Caenorhabditis elegans: one gene and its partner. The protein of the gene in region 1 interacts with the protein of each later gene in a pairwise test. Each region holds a gene or a part of one and is shown on either strand. Other genes may lie near its edges.

Region 1 (8,823 bases):
TAAGATGAGGGAGAAGCCAGACTACGGAAGACGAACGGAGGAATAAATTGAAGGGGAGAAGTATGGATGAATGAGAGGAATAAGAAATACTATTCATTGCTTCTTCTGGCACGATTACATCAGCTTTTGCAACCTTTTTTCGGGTGGAGTGATTATCAACAAAGGTTGAACTGTGTATATGATCATTGAGTTCAAAACGTGATTTGGTTGATTTTGTAAGAAAATTATGAGCAATGAGTCAAACATTCGAATATACCTGTGTTCGAAATGTCATTGAAAGATTAGTTGTAACATTCAAGATTTTAGAAGCTGAGTATCGTCCATAAGAATTTTCTAACTACTTTTATGTAGTCCAAATAACAAGCCAGCATTTTATAGAGTTTTTAAGCGTTCCATTGGGCAAGTTGCCATATTTTCCAAAAATGTGGTTATTTTAGTTAATTCAGGCAATTCTGCAGGTTCAGACTACTAAAATTTTCACTGAACAACTAAAAAATAAAAATATAAATCTTGAAAAATTAGTTTTATTAACAAAATTGTGAAAGCTCAGTTTTCAAGCATTTCTTTAAAAGGAGCATTAACAGAGCATAAGAACATTTTAGAAATCTGTACAAAAAACGCTAAATTTTAAATCCGATTTTTCATTTATGTTGATTCCAAAAATCGGTACAGTACACCGATATTTTAGAAAATGTAGTGTTTTTTTAAAGGTTTTATAGTTTTATTTGAATATTCAAATCAAAACATAACATTTTGAAACTAAAGAGCGCAGTTCACCCAGTTGATAACCCTCTTTGGTTATAATTCCAATATTAGCTTGTGGTTACGTCACAATTCTTGAAACATCGGAGGTTTCGGTGAGTTTCAAAGTTCACCACCCTCTGTTTCTGCGTATCGCGATCTCGTGGGCTCTTCGAGCATCTCCCAAAAATAGTAGAGACGATATACAACAATCTGTGCGGTCAGCAGAAAGAGAAAGAGAGAGAAAAAACGTGCGTGTGTCCGAAATGCAAATATAAAATTGTATTGGAAGGAAGAAGCGAACGTACTGTTGTGTTCCGCGATTGCTCCGCGCGCCGCGCCCTTTTGATACTCATCTTTTCTTCCAATTCCGGAGACTCCCACTTTTTGTAATTTGAAAGAAACACACATAAGACGCGCTTGACCCCTGTCAATTTAGAAGATATGCATCTTTTAGATGAAGGAACAAAAAACCCGCGAAAACGTGGTGTGAATTATTTAAAACTCTTTTTCTCCCCCTCTCATTTCTTCACTCTTTTTCTTCCCAAATCCGTCCGGTTTCCATTTCGCCGTACGTTGACGGTGGTGAACGGTGGAGAGACTTGTTCAGTGTTCTAGATTATATGGTTCGATAAAAAGTACAGTTTTGAATACTTTCCTGTTTTCCATGTATATTTATCTTTTTTGGAATGACACTTTTACCGAATTTGACACCTTCGGATTCTGGTTTTGATGTATTCAAAGTTTAATTACAGTTTTTCTGATTTTCCTTGCCCGGCAAAGTTTGAGTTTTTATTCCAACAATAATTCCAGCAAATGATACTCTTTTCTTGAAACTGGAAAAAAAATCTTGGAAGCTTGTTGAAAAGCTATATAACTCAAGCCTTTTAATTTTTGCCGACTATCGAGTTTTCTGAAATTTTCCTTTCCTCACAATCAGTGGTAACATTTTGAAATAAATGTACGCTAGGTTAAAAAAATATTTTTTGAAATTGAAAAACGTAAAACTTACCATAAGGCCCATTTGTGAAGTGGCAGCAAAAAAATGTTGTGCTATTTACCAGACAATATGCTGCAAAATGCAACAAAAAAAATCAATTACATAATTGATTTCAATTAAAGCGATTTCATTGAACGAGCATATTTTTCCTTTTGCGACCACATGTTTTGAATAAAAATCATTTATTGAATTTAATTGTCAATAAACATTAAATAGTTGTGTCCAGAAGCCATGCTATTACCCATAAGCAAAATTTCACGATTTTTAGCCAACAATAAAGTGCCCGGTCTCGACACAACAAATTTTTGTCAAAAGCGAGAAGGTGTACTGTGATTCAAACTCTCTTTTCTACACAGTTATCATCGATTTTTCATAATTTTTCGTTGAAATTTTTAGACCGAGTACCGTAGCATCGAAAATACTATGATTAGAAATCTGAATTATTCCAATTTCAAATGAGAATTCTAATGCTCTAAACCTGCTCCATAAGCTCATCTACTCCCCCGTAAATTGAATATTTTTCTTATTTTTTTAAAAAATAAGAAAACGAATGTAATAATCCTGACACCACATTGCCGACTGCACAACCGAATCAAATATTTTATTCCTCTCTTCTTTTCTTCTTTGAAGAGCTCATCATCTCCTACATATTTCCTTCCTCTGACGTCTCCAAGTAGAAAAAAAAAGAGTTTGCCTTCTTTTCCCAAGAAGTTTTCTTCCAACTTTTCTCCCATTTCTCATTACTTTTTCTATCGGCTCGTCATCATTTGACGACCCCAACTTATCAATGAATTTAACACTGATAAATGCATTTCCACGTCGTTCCTCGGTTTTCCATTTCATTTTTCTTCGTTTTCTCGTGACTTATAAGCAATGTTTTAGGGAATTAGGGAATGTCATCCTTGAAGGTTTCCAGAATAAAAACTGTCTAGTTTTAGATTATATCATAATTTGAACTGTAGAAAAAATTTCCAAATATCTACTTAATTTACAGAAGTTATCTGGGACACTCTCCACGTTAACAATAATCTCAAATAGATATACTCCGTTCCTCTAATTATTGAATTTTTTAAAAAACTAATTCTAAATGTTTACTCTTATATTATATTTTTTGGGAAATTGCAGTTTTTGCTTTGTTTGCTCTTTATTTCCCACAAAAACTATCATAAAAACTCTCTCTCTCTCTCACTATGCTTCATGAGATTGTTTTTAAAGTTTAAAGTTTTTTATTTGGAATTTAAATTTTTAATATTTTCACACACATTATATTTTTACACCTTGAAACGTCCGTAATCTTCAATAATTTCAGTTGATGGCGGAGGAAGAAGAAGTGTCGAGTGACGATGTGCTTATGGAATCGCGGCCTTCTCTCGTTTCAACGAGAGCCGCGCATCTTTCTCCAAAACTTCAGAGAAGAGGATCCTCATCTGCACGAAAATTCGGTAAGTATTTGAAGAAAACTAGGTCGGTGATGAAGGATACAGCGGTGTTCGATCATCGATCGTCATAAGCTTATCGTAGAGTGTATGTGTGACACTGACCTCTGTTGACCCGCCCGGTGGATTCAATTCTACTATCTGTCCGATGTATCCAATTTAATCTTCCGTTTCTCGTGATGTTTGTGTTGCTATTGACACTTTAAAAAATTAAAAAGATCAGACTAAAAATAGGAACAAGCAAATTTGATAATGATGAACATAAAAGTAAGAGCTCAAAAAATAATTTCTCCACGTTAATAACTTTTTCTCTAACTGTAACAGGAGTGCGCTCACTAAACTTTTTCGAATTTCCACCACGATTGTCTACTTTTAAAAAATGTCCTAAAAAGGTGGCAATCACATCTATGTTCAAAAAATCTCTAAAATAGCACAACTAGCAAGAAAAATATTTCAGCTCGTTTTTAGTTCCAGATGAAACTTATGTCTTTTAAATGTGAGTCTTGAAATATGTCATTACAAAACATTACAGTTCTTTGGCCTGAAAGAATTTTGCAAAGATTTTTGTCAAAAATTTTCAGAATGACCTTTTCTAATTCAATGTGCTCCTTTGTTGCCAATTTTTAAAAGTAACCTATTGCCAAGGCACTCTTTCAAATGATATAGGTTTTATTTAGAATTCTAAAAATATGCTGAAATACTTTCATGGGAGCTGGATTTTTTGCCCGAGCCTTTTGATGCATAGTGTTTTGCACTTTTTATTGTGAATTCTGCAATGTCACCTGATTAACTATTGTGGCGTTTGCTTATGGAAACCGGAGAAAACTAAAATTTCATTGAATGACGTAAGTCACATTTCAAATTTATTCTCACCTTTTCTGGAGTGCACAAAAAATTACATAGGCAATACACTTTTTTTCAAATTTGATGTCCTTTTTCTTTTTGTTTTTCAAAGCATATTTGAGCTATAAAACTTGACCCGAACCTATAAATTACCACTCATCATCGGGTTGTTATCTCGTGTCGGGTTCATCGCAATAACATACATGAAGAATATTGAAAGAAGGTCGTCTCTCGAGTCAGTGAGTGGTGTCTTCTAGTAGTGCACGCCCGGTACCACCACCGGTCAATGTGTTGTTGCCGTTGCCGACGACCATTTTCCGCGCATCTCATCATCTCCCCCTCCCATGGGCCACCTTCCACGTGTTGTCTGCGTACCCTCACCTTCGAAAGAAATGCCAACTGTGAATAACAATATCGTTATGTTGGAGAAAGGACAGGCCGGCACTGACATACACTCACACGCGAGATTTTCGTTAGATCACTTCGGAGTTGTCTGCGTGTTTTTCTTTTTATTTCTATGCTTTTGAGGTAATATGAGACATTTCAAAAAAAAAAATAGAGAATCATCAAAAAAGTGATGAAGAGAATTTGGCAGAGTGAATCGAAAAACTACTTCCGGCTTTTTCTTTTTTTCCCATCTATGTTTTCATTTTTAGTCAGCTGCTTTTATAGTTTTCGTATTTATATTTTTTGTGCTTTTCTTTTCTCTTGTAACCCCTTTAAACTTTTATCAGGACCGATGGAAAATAATTTTCAAACTGTCTGATTAAAATACTTTTTCTCAAATTATTTTCCTGTTGAAAAAAAGAAAGACTCGAGATTTTTTGGTAATATTATTTCCGATTTGATCAATAATCGGGAAAAAACTTTGAAAAAATGTTCCGTTGGAGACTCCCCATGAACATATTTTAAAAGTACATGTGGATTTAAAACAAGTTTGCAGGTTTTTGAAACACACATTTTGGAACTTTATTTTTAAAAACTCACAGTTAGCAAGAAATACAATTTGCAAATTTTTTCTGCAAGTATAAGATTTTTCTAAATTGGAAAAAAAATACCTGAAGCTGCAAAACTTTGCTGTCAGGTGATATTTTATTACCAAAAAGAAAAAAAAATCAAAAATGTTTGAGGAGTAATTTTTTAAAGTATTAAGAGAATTGAAAGAATTTTGTGAATATTAAACCATTTTCCCAGTTTTTTCGCAGTGAAAGCTGATAGTTTTAACGCCATCACATTCATTTTTTTTTAAAGTTTCTCGGCAAAATGGCCTAACTTCGTAGCATACTCTTGCAACTTCTTAACAACCATTAGGCATTTTAGCTTTTAAGCAAACTTCTGCAGCTTTTCAGACGACTTTTGCAATTTTTTAGCAGATGTAAAGCTAAATTTCGCTCACAATCCCGTTGGTTTTCGCAACTTCTTAACAGCTTTTTACAAAGTTATATGAATGTTTTTATTAAGTTGCAGGAGATTGCTATGAAGTTGCGACGTTTTGCCGAGTTGGAGTTAACATAATTTCTGATGTGTCTAGTTGGGTAGTTCAACTGGTCAACATCATTTTCATCCCTGTCATTCTCAAAAAACGGAGCACTACCCTTGATCTAACCTAACCCAAAAAAACTAAACAAACAGTGACCCTGGCACGGCTTGCTCCTAAAGCAAACCCATTGAGCTTCTCCCCAATTTTTTCACAGTTAGTTCTCCTTCTCGTCCCTTCTTTCTCAATTCCACAGCGTGACCATCATCACTAGCCCAATGGATCCACGCCCCATCTACATCATACAGGGGGCCGACGACACCGAATCCAGTTTCAATTCATGGCTATTGCTGACTGCTTCTTGCCCTCATTTTCCTCTTTGCTACATGCCACATTCTCTCACTCTATGTCCTCTTCGGTGTAGGCATCGTCTCCATCGTCGTACAGTTGGACGTTGATGACGATGAAGACTAGGGGCATTCAAAAACTGGCCAAAGGCATTGAATGATGAAGGACAAGAACACCTATATGCTTCTGTAAACATCGATGCTTTTGTAAATTTTATGTTTACGCACCTTTTGTCGCCTCCCCCACACATAAATTGCTATTTTCGGAATGTTTCTTCTGACCTCCTACAATTGTCCCATCAGGCCGATTCAATTACACATTTCAATCTAGTCTTATTATTGATTAGACACATCATCACATCCTCCTCTTCCGTCCCTGCTACTTCCTTCAAAACATAAACTTTTACGACTTTTTTTTCTTCTCTTCTTCTTCTTATGTCTTCTTTTTCTTCTTCCAGACGATGTTGGCATAACCAGATTTTGCCACGTATGCACTCACACATCTATCCGATCAACCATCTCGTTATCCTTGCATTCCTCCCGTTTTTCTTCAATTCATCTTCCTCTTATCGCATTAGATGAGAACCTTAGGTCATCATCATCATCATCATCTTCAGAAATTTCTGCCTTCATTCAGCTAAGAATCTCACTCAAAAAACCGAAAAATGGCATTGGGAAATGGGTTAAAACTCAACTTATTACACTTGGAATCCAGAAAAATCAGACCGGCACATCTACAAAATGAGTCAGTGTAGCATGTTCTACCAAGATTTTTTAAGTTAAAATTTAGCGATAAATTATAGAAAAATACTTGTTTCATCTGAAAATACCTGTTATTTCAGTTGGAACAACATTTAAAAAAGTGCTCCACAAGTTCCTGGAAGGTACAAATTGCCGATAAAAATTGCAGTAATTTGCCGGATTCTTCCTCAGCAATTTGCAGCTTGAAACAATTTTTTGAGCAATTTTTCAGTTGTTCCAAACTAAGTGAAGACTATTTTCTCATAAAACAAGTATTTATCTACATATAACACTAATTTTCAACAAAGAACATGCTTCCCTCGCTCATTTTGTAGAATTGCTAGTAGGGAATCGCCGCGCAAACCTTGTGAAATGGATGCCCCGATTTTCGAATTGTTGAAATTCCAATTTTCAAACTATATCCGCCTGATACTTCCAATATCAAATATCGAGACGTTTCCATCTCTAGTGTCCCAATTTGATAAACATATCCTGAGGCAACTACAACTCTATTTTCCATCTGGAATTTGTTTCAAATGCCGGTAAGCCACCGGTTAGGATCATCACCCACTATTCCCATCGAAGATTTAAGCAATTAAGCAATGTCTCCGCAAAAAGGAGAAGCATTCATAATTGTGTGTATGTGTGCTGTTCATTGTGTAATTCGGTGTCCTCTCCTCAATCTCTGCTTGGTTATTCATTGCGAAGATATCGAATTGGGACATGAAAGATGGAGGCGCGAAATGAATCGAAGAGTGCGCAGACGTACATGCGCGTATCCACCAACACAATGACCCAAATAAGATGTAGAAGCATAGAGAGAAGCAGAAGACAAGAACATTGAAAGAGATTGAGAGAGAGTAAGTAGAAGGGACGGTATATGTGTCCCTTTGACAGTTTTGGCGCGCGCGCGTGTACAGTCACCGTCTCAAAAGTTTTAGGCGAACCCCGCTTCGATACCTCCGGGAGAGCGCGGGAGAGAGAGAGGATTCTCGCCTCTCCTGTCATCATCGTCCCGAGGCCATCTCGCCACACCAGGTACCTGGTTGCGTCCCGAGGGGACATCGAGATAGTACTGAGAAATGAGAGATCTCAGGGACGAGATACGTACCAAGTTGCGTTGCACTTCTGTGTTCACACTAACGCTGGCACGACCGTCTGGCGCTGCGATCCATGCTTTCTAAAAAAGTGCATTTGTGGGGCGGCCCCGGTTCCAGGGTTCCAGGTTCTTTGTTTTTGGTTCACCTCCTTGTTGTCTCCTCCCCCGTGTTCCAGTTTGACTGTGTAATCGAGACTTGTTTCAAGTTTTAAAATATTGTTCCTTGTGAGGGTGTAGACTGGAATTCTCGTCTGTAGGTCAATATGATTCACGTCTGCCAAGGATGCTGACAGCATGAGTTTTACCGCCTCCCGTCATACTCTTGTGTGCAATTTGTAGTTTTTTTATTTTTTTATTTTTTGCTTTCTAATTTCCCTCAATTTCAAATTTCAGTATTCAATTTTTACTGATTTTCTGTGAGTTTTACGCGTCAAGTATGATCTACAAAAAGAAGATATGAATACAGTTTAGTCCTATCTTTGAATATAATATGTCAGAACATTTTTTAATGTTTCCTAATACCAAGTTCAAACTCTAGACCATGAAATTCATCTTTGATATATTAATACATTTATTACACCCAGCACGGAGACATTCACCAGTTGCACAATAGCGGTGTCGTCTGCTCTCAGCTGATTAGCTCACAGCTGTTTGATTCGTGTGTTCATTTCTAAAGATTATTGTTAGTCCGCCGCCCAGTACCAACTTTTCCATCCTCCACCACGATACACATTCTTCCAATTTTTCCTACCTTTCACGTACAACATACATCCATCTTCATTTTCGTGGAACTTGTGATGCAATTCAGCAATTTGTTTGTTTTTGTTTGCAATTGGAACCAGATTCTAGTTTGTTGTTCATATCCAAGTGGACCTGTAATGCTTTCATAAATTGTTTCCATTCTTCAATGACCACGTGATCAGTTAGCTTTGATCGTCTTAGCTGATCGGTGTTTGAGCTTCTACTATGGAATTGTTATGATCTCCAATTATATTCCTGCAGATGGATTCTTCCAAGCACATATAAATTTCAAGTTTCCCCAGTTTCGTTCCTTTTTTTCTACATTTTTCTCCTATAGGTGACACATTTTGTACACATACACTCGTATATTCTTTACGATTTCGCATTTTCCAAATTCG
Region 2 (8,665 bases), 690 kb from region 1:
CTCTTTGAACATCATAGCTGCAAGAGATCTGTGTTAATCTGGTCTTAATAAGTGCATTCAGCCACGGTTCTTCGGTTTTGTACTTTTGCAAATTTTTGCAGAAAACGAGAAAAGAATGCGATAAACCGAAAGCGATTAGTTCAGTTTTTAAACCAAAAAATCAAATCACACTATTCTGAACATTACGGTCATTTTCCAATTTTATTAGCAATTTATCTATATTCGGGGACTTATTTTTGAACAATTATATTCTGTTTGCAGAAAAGTGACTCTAGGTGCTACATCTTTTATTATAAATCCTGGCGGCCTAAAACTTTAATTTATATTATAGATCAAACCCAAAAATGCCTGATGGCACCTGTATCGGCTAGACCCGCTCAGAAAAATAGCATGTCCCTTTAAACTGAAGTGCCAAATTTTCGCGAAATTAGTCAAGTACTGCTGTAACCGGATACTGAACTTGGAAAAAGGGTTTAAAACGCAAAAAAAACAATTTTGAAATTTTTAGTTTTTGACCCGAAACAGTTGTGCCTGGTCTTGACACGAAAATTAGTTGGCAATTTTTACAGTTTTTGTATATTTTTATTCTCAGTGAAAATCTGAAAAGCGAACATTTTTGATTTTTTGGTTCTTCCGTAAAATGAAATTTCGAAAAAATGTTTCAAAAATTAACAAAAAAAAGCGTTTTGAAATTAAATTTGTTATTGTATTGTATTGTAAAATGTTAATGAGAGAAAAAATAATTATTTTCTAAAATGGCAAAAATTGTAGGCGCTTTTTTTGAAACCGTATTTTTGAGTCTGTAAATTCGCGACTATTCTAAAATTTCAACGTGATCCATTTTTGGCATTTTTCGTTTTTATTTTAATAATATTAGAAAAAAACCAACTTGTTGAATCCCTCCAGAACCCAACGGAGTCCGGGAATATTGTGTTGTCCCAGGGCTTGGGTAAACTTTTCTTGTATTTTACGTATGCTCATCTGAATTTCATATAATTTTTTGTTGAATAAATTATTATCAATTCAAGAAAAAAATACATTGTCCCATAAAAAATCAGGGAATCGACTTCAAATAAAAAAATCAACACATTATAAAACAGAGATCATATTCATTTTACACAGAAGATTATTGCCAAAAGAATTTTGAGATTTCAAAACGATTTTCATAAATATATAACACTTTTTAAAGAAATTAATCTATATATGGGCGAGGTGACCAGTCCTTATCGTGATTAGCCTTCCAATCTTCATTATTTTCATTCAATCGTGGAACATCATGACGTAACATGAATTCTCGAACTTTCCAACGAAGTGATAAACGACGCATTTCACCTGGAGCCGGATGACGATCCCATTCAGATCTGCAAGAAAACAAAAATGTTATAAAAATAAATGTTGAAGACTTTTTTCAGTATAATTTTGCAAAAAAAAAATTTTAAGTGCAAAATCACTTCGAAAATTGGTCGCGTTACCGTTTTAAAAAAATATTGCAAAAAATATTGTTTTTTTTAGAAATTTATATACTTTCTTAATATTTTTTTGTTTTTCAAAAATTCATATTTTTTATTCCGTGATTATTTTCACTCGAGAATCGCTCGCCCACTATGGGGGAGTCTACGCAAGGACAACGCAAGGACAAGGACAACATTCTAATGGAATGGAAACAATTGCCCGACTGCACCAATTCTAGTTCAAGCGAACAATGATAACTTTTGTATTCTGTATTCCTTCACGTCTCCCAGCGAGCGTAATAAATTATTATTATTATTATTATTATTTTTTGAAAATATTTTGATTTTTTCAAAAATGTATATAATTTTTTAAAGATTTGAATTTTCCACAAATTTATCCATTTTTTAAAACATATTTTTGTTTTTTTTCCAAATTTTAATTTTTTTTTACTTTTTTTAGATTTTTTAAAAATTGGCATATTTTTGAAAATGTAAAAAAAAACTTTTTAATCTTTTTTTTTTTGGAAATACGATTTTATCAAAATATTTGATTTTTATTCTATTTCATTCAGTCTATATTGTTGGAAATATTTTAATTATTTCGAAAACTTTTTTTTTCCAATATTTTCTTTCTTTTCAAAAATTGGCATTTTTGATACTTTGATTTTTTCAATAATGCCAATACTTTTTAAAGTATTTTAATTTTTTCTAAATCAAAATTATAAATAAAACGTTCTTCCATCGCTACTACACAGTCACGACACTCTCAAACTGAATAAAATGAATTACTTGTAGAAATGATATCTTGTGACCGGATCATATTTTTTTGGTGCTCTTCCTGGTTCAAGTGACAACACATTCCGAGTCCAAACTTCTTTTTCCGGTCGTGAAGATTTTTGAAGCTCTGATTGTTCAGTTTCAGTGCTTAACCCCACGGAAACTGATTCAGCGATATTTTCCTCATCATCCACACTTGATCGTTCTTGTATGTCGCTGCCATCCAGTGATATTGATTTAAGAGTCTGAAAAAATATTTAAAACTTATTTTTTATAAAATAAAATGCACAAACATCTGAATCTTGACGTTCGGTTGGCTCACAGGATTCAATTTTATTATTTTTAGACTTTTTGAACATTTTCCAGCTTAATCTATGGAAAAAATCTTGAATGGAAGTCAGCATTTTTCAACAAAAAAAAAAACGAAAAAGTCAAAACCTCTGTGGCACCATTGCATGTTTCCATTGCACGATGTATGCTTCGCCACGCTCGATCGACCAGAAGGTTTCTCTCAGGATACTCGTTTGAGCTTTCATCGTCGAAATCGCTTTGTAACTCTACATTTTCGTAGATAAACCGTTTTCCTTGTCTTTCTGAAAAAAAATCACAGATTAATTGAAGAAAATCTTAAAACTTAACTCACTTCTAGAAACAATTGGGGACTGAATATTCAGATTTTCGGTTGGAAAATTTCGTTCTTGTCGTATGAATTGAGCGGCTGGATCAACTGATAATGAAGCAAATAGAGATTCATTCATAACGTCTTCATCGGCATCTGACAGACAAAGCTCTCGGTCGAGTAGATTATCAATTTCTGAAGAATACGATCTTTTATATTGGATTTAAATATTTTAGGAAAAAAAACTAACCATTCTTGAAAGTTGCAAATTGGTTTTTGTCATGTATATGGTGACCCATTTGATGAAGAATATCTTCGAGCTCGTTTTCAGTGGTAAAATTTGCCATTTTTCCTTGAAGCCAAATGCTCGATGAAGCGTGTTTTATGAACAAGGAGGAAATGACGTACACGTTAAACTACCCGTAACGTTTTGAAAATATTTTTGAGATTGTCACAATGATCTGATCAGTCACAAGATGGTGGGGTTTTTCTGTAACAACAAACAATATTGTTCGTGCAAAAAAAAAACAAATAAAAAACAAAAAAGCAAACGTGCTCTATTGAACGCCAGAAAGCGCGCCAGGTTCAAATCTTAAAAAAATAGCGCGCGCGGTGCCATTGCAAAACAGTGCGCCCAGATTGCCAAACATGACTCCGCCCATCATTCTCCTTGTTAAAAACTTTTCCGAATTTTCTAATTTTATCCCGAAAAATTAAATTTAAAATAACTTTTTTATTAAAATTCAATAATTAATGATAATGACGGGTTTTCAGGTACATGAGCGATAACCATGCTTTTGGGCGGCCGATTCAAGAAGATGGACGAGGAATTGTCGAAACTATGAGAACAGAATCCGCCGCCATTTCCAATAATTTTAATGCGGTGAATAGCGGTAAGTCTCTAAAAGCAGAAAAATTGACCAAAATTAGCTATTATTTCAGTTAACAAATCTGTTGTACAACATCTTGATGAGCTTTCACAAAGTTTCGATGAGATTTTCACTTCAACAGACCACTCCGATGTAACTCTTGTTCTCGACGATGGAACTGAATTTGCTGCCCATCGTTTGATCTTGGCTGTGAGAAGTAGCTTTTTTCGAGCTATGCTCTATACAGGTTTTCAAGAAAGCCATCAACAGCTTGTGACTCTTCAGGAAACGAATTCAGTAGCCTTCCGAGCTGTTCTTCGGTACATGTACACATCGAAAATCGATTTTGCCGGAGTGGAACTGGATATTTTGCTAGAATATCTCAGTCTGGCACATCGTTATGATTTAATTCAGCTTATGACAGCAATAAGCGAATATTTCAAGGAAATTTTGAAGAATGAGAACTTGTGTAGTATTTTCAATGCTGCATACTTCTTTCAATTCACTGATCTTATAGATTATTGCATGCAATATTCTGATAAACATGCAGATCAGCTTCTCGAAGATCCCAGCTTCAACCGATTATCAGGAGATAGTCTGAAGGAGCTTCTTGCGAGAGATTCATTTTTTGCATTAGAATTGAAGATCTTCAATGCGGTACGTTCATGGCATCAGAATAATCCAACAATGAAAGAAGCATCAAAAGTTTTGCTGGAATTGGTCAGACTTCCCCTTATAACACAAACCGAACTTCTTAATTGTGTAAGACCAACTGGGTTGGTGTCAGCTGATACTCTTCTGGATGCTATAGAAGTTCAAACACAAAGACCACACGAGATTCCATTCAGAGGATGCAAAAGTGAGTTGAATTTTATTTATTTTCTGTTTAATCTATTCCATTTTATAGGCCTCGACACGAATATAATTCCACACTATCCACACGCACAGCCATTGTCACGAGAGCTCAGCAGTCGCTACACTAATGACGAGAATATTAGTGTATTTCAAATTGATCTCGGAAAACCATTCATTATCAATACAATTATGATGGATTTTAACTGGAAAAATGAAGTTCAAGCATTTACATACCAAGTTCACGTTAGTATGGATAATCGAGTTGATGCTCATTGGAATCTAGTTGCTGATTACTCGGAATATGATTGTCGAGGAACACAAAGACTCTTCTTCACAGATTCTGTTGTGCGGTAAGTGATTGATTTTATTGTAAAATCCATTGCATTAATAGTAGAAATTCAAAAACATTTCGGCGGTTTTGGAACTAACGGGCGAAGTTTAATTGATCTATTTTTTATTCATTTTCCGAAACATTTAAAACTTTCGAAAAAAAACTACAGCGCCTATAGTAATTTTCTACAGAAAACCCGTGAAACTCGAAAATTATTCACCATAATTTGCATTTCAGGCATATTTTGATCCGAGTCAACAATTCAATGTCGTGTAAACTGGAAGGAAGTCGAATCGAAGCCATGTTCTCTACCGAAACAATGCCTGTCGAACCTGTGCACAAAGTCATAGGTATCACATTTTGCTGTGGAAATGTAATATAATTTCAATTTTCTCAGTTCCTCATCGAAACATCACAACGATAGAAAATCACGCACGGGTTGTTGAAGGAGTTTCTCGATGTCGGAATGCTCTTATCAACGGGGATTCCTCATCCTACGACTGGGATACTGGATACACGTGTCATCAAATTGGAAGTGGTCTCATCATGATTCAACTTGCTCAGCCCTACATTATATCTTCAATGCGAATTTTGTTATGGAATTGTGATGATCGATTCTACTCGTATTATGTTGCCGTATCGAAGAATCAAGACGAATGGGTTACGATTGTCGACCGCACCAATGAAGAATGTCATGGATGGCAAGAACTCATATTTGATCCTCTTCCAGTTGTGTATATTCGACTTGTTGGTACCCGGAATTCCATAAACGAAGTCTTTCACGTTGTACATCTCGAGGCTCCCTCAAACGTTCCAATTGCCATAAAATAAAACCGGGTTACAGAAATATATATAATGCATTATTTCACTTAAATGTCTGATGAAAAATAAGTTATTAAATTTATTGAATAAAAATGTTAATAATTTCTTTTGAAAAAAAACCACATACACGGACGCCACACACCGAAAATAAATTTATTTTTTTATTTTCTTTATTCTTGAAATTCTAACCGTTTTTTTCAGATTTTTGAGAGGGATGGCGAAGCGAGAACTGAGGAAAAGTCTCAAATCAGAGATAGAAAACCTATTCAAATCACCAGAACAAGCAGAACATGAATTTCAATGTAAGGGGAATAAATAAAAAAATAAATTCCAGGAAAAGAAATTAATTTCAGGTGCAACAAAAAGACGTCGATTAACAAGCTCTGAAAAACCAACCAAGTCTCCTAGTACAAGTAGTGATGATCCATCCAAGCCAAAATTAGAGTTAAGGCTGTCCCGACTAGGTGATGGCCATCGATTAGACTGCGAAAGTAATAATCCACTTTAAAATCCACAATTTTCGCATAGTTTTCCAGCTCTGGCTCAGTTTATTCACTTCAGCATATTTGGATCATCACTCCAAAAGCCCAGATGGGTCAGTCTATCCCATCATAGAAATGTCCTTCAGAACCTAGTGGTTCGTGTCAATGTGGATGACGATTTTTTCGTAAGGGATTGCATTGAAAACCTAAATCGCTGAAATCATTACAGACGACAACGAATCTAAGCTTTCTTAGTGAATTCTTTGAAAAGCAATGGATAGAGTTGGATTCAGATGTCAGTGATCGTGGATTGTTCTGGAACAGCATTATGCAAGTCCGGCTTACTATTCAGGAACAGATTCGGAGAAAGTCTGTCATAATGCAAAAAACTTATGATAGAGACGGAAAACACGATAAATCGCATTTTGTGCTCACAACTGAACAATTGGCTCAACGACGCTACCCATTTCCTGGTGAAGAAGGTGTTGTACCCACTAAACAAGGGTAAATTAGCGATATTACTTGTTTTCAGTGCAGATTAAGTTTTATTTAAAATTTCAGATATAAAAAAATATCAGCTTCATCTCCAATGTTTTCTGTTGACTGTGAGATGTGTGAAACAGACGTTGCGAATCGAGAACTTACACGAATATCGATAGTGGATGAATTCGAGAATACGATTCTAGATACTCTTGTGAAACCAGAAGGTCGAATCACAGATTATGTGACGCGATGGTCTGGAATTACACCGGATATGATGGAAGGAGTAACGACGACTCTTGGAGATGTTCAAAAAGCTATTCAGAGCTTGTTACCGCCGGATGCAATTCTTGTTGGACACTCATTAGAGCACGATCTACAGGTATTCGAATTTTCAGTTTATTTCCTATTTTATTGAAACCAATTACAGGCAATGAAAATGACACATCCATTTTGTCTCGACGTTGGTCATGTTCTCAACTATACGAATAGCAACACAGAATTCCGAAATAGTCTCAAAAATTTGACGGAACTCTTTCTCGGAGCACAAATTCAATCAGAATTCGGTCATTGCTCGTATGAAGATGCGTGGGCAGCGATGCGCCTCGCTCAGCTGAAACTCGAAAAAGGATTGATGTTCGGGAACGTGAGCTTCGGATGGAAATATTCTGAATACGCAAAAAACAATGGAGCAGTTGAGAAGAAAATTGTCACGGCTGCTGAAATCACATCAAAACCGTGTACTGATTGCTCTCAGCCAACAGTTGTTGCTTGCACAGTTGCCAATTGCAGATGCAGATTTGTATCGACTCCTTCGAAATGTGTGCATTGTGTGAAGATCGGGATAAGTGCCCAAGGAGATTTTCATTGGCAGGATACACTTGATGTGGATCATGAAAAGAAAGCATCTCCAATCGGGAATTATTTGAAAAAGGATAAAATGAAATCTGTGATGTGTGCTTTCGATACTGCTATTCTCGACTGTCCTCCCATATCAAAAAAGTAAGATATTTAAAAATAATAAAGTTTAAGTACCTAATTTATTTCAGGGTCCGCTCAAAACTTCATTCCTCTTTTCCCTCCTATAATGGATTCGTCAACAGTGTAGCTTCTGAAATGCTCAATGACAGTGTAATCCTCGTGGAGATTGACAAAGAAAAAATAGAACCATTGGAAGAAACTGATTCAGAGCAAGGAGAAGTTCCTGACAACGCGGAGGCACTGAATCGGATTCTTGAAAAACTGGTTGCCGCCACGGCTAAAAACTCACTGATTATGATGATCTTGTCTAATTCCACTAAAAACGTGCTCTATGTAAGAGTCAAATAATCTTTTTTTTTAATATTAAGTTTCTCATAAAATGAATAACAAATAAAATTTGGTTTAATTTAAACTTCAATTTCCAACAAAACAACAACATTGATAACAAAGAAACGAAACAGTGAAATCATAAAATTTACTTGGCGGCTTTACTGAGCTTTGCCTTCTTTTTCAGCTTTTCCAAATCGATCGGCGCGTCGTTCGGTCGCTTCTTGTTCTGTTTTTCTCGCGGAGCTTCCTCTTTTGCTTGATACACTTTCAACTTTTGCTTCTGTTTTTCCACAGTCTTCACCGCCGATGCTTCCAATTTCGCTCTGAAAATTTCATAAATTTATTAAATTCCGTTACGATTTTTGAATTAAGAATACTTACCTCTTTTTGTTCATCTTTCTTTCGTTCTCGCGAATAAAATATTCTCCGCTTTCAATCTGCTTGTCAATCTTGCTCATAACTGGAGCCGGTGGGAACGGAGTGAACTCCTTCTTGGGCTTCATCTTGTAAGCCTTCTTCTTCTTTGCTTCCTTTGTTGTAGTTGCAGATTGAACCTTCTTTCGGTAGTTTGGAAGATAAGCATCCCAGTTTGCATCTTTCAATTCATCATTTTTAGATAATTCCCTTTTGATCATCATAGTTTTAATATTGTAGATTGGGTGAATATT

Evidence for each region.
Region 2: the proteins of dre-1 (region 1) and hpo-9 interact in a two-hybrid assay, tested with the Caenorhabditis elegans proteins (one large-scale study listed by BioGRID).

Annotation. Positions count from the first base shown.
Region 1 is NC_003283.11:6,540,722-6,549,544, reverse strand, and holds the start of dre-1 (F-box domain-containing protein), read left to right. Parts: upstream 1-3,053; coding exon 3,054-3,183; intron 3,184-5,773; exon of another isoform or gene 5,774-5,979; intron 5,980-7,258; exon of another isoform or gene 7,259-7,408; intron 7,409-7,545; exon of another isoform or gene 7,546-7,661; intron 7,662-8,823. Other genes in the region: K04A8.20 (Ovule protein), read right to left, coding at 1-97. UniProt on the Caenorhabditis elegans protein: Substrate recognition component of a SCF (SKP1-CUL1-F-box protein) E3 ubiquitin-protein ligase complex which mediates the ubiquitination and subsequent proteasomal degradation of target proteins including blmp-1.
Region 2 is NC_003283.11:7,232,087-7,240,751, reverse strand, and holds hpo-9 (BTB/POZ domain-containing protein 9), read left to right. Parts: upstream 1-3,621; 5' UTR 3,622-3,625; coding exon 3,626-3,740; intron 3,741-3,789; coding exon 3,790-4,575; intron 4,576-4,623; coding exon 4,624-4,921; intron 4,922-5,139; coding exon 5,140-5,252; intron 5,253-5,299; coding exon 5,300-5,733; 3' UTR 5,734-5,830; downstream 5,831-8,665. Other genes in the region: C05C8.1 (ATP synthase subunit s, mitochondrial), read right to left, coding at 1-17, 890-981; Centriolar and ciliogenesis-associated protein hyls-1, read right to left, coding at 1,193-1,361, 2,241-2,473, 2,667-2,821, 2,872-3,042, 3,098-3,194; C05C8.5 (Exonuclease domain-containing protein), read left to right, coding at 5,939-6,026, 6,078-6,215, 6,261-6,391, 6,436-6,710, 6,768-7,068, 7,117-7,688, 7,736-8,015; krr-1 (KRR1 small subunit processome component), read right to left, coding at 8,143-8,320, 8,379-8,665.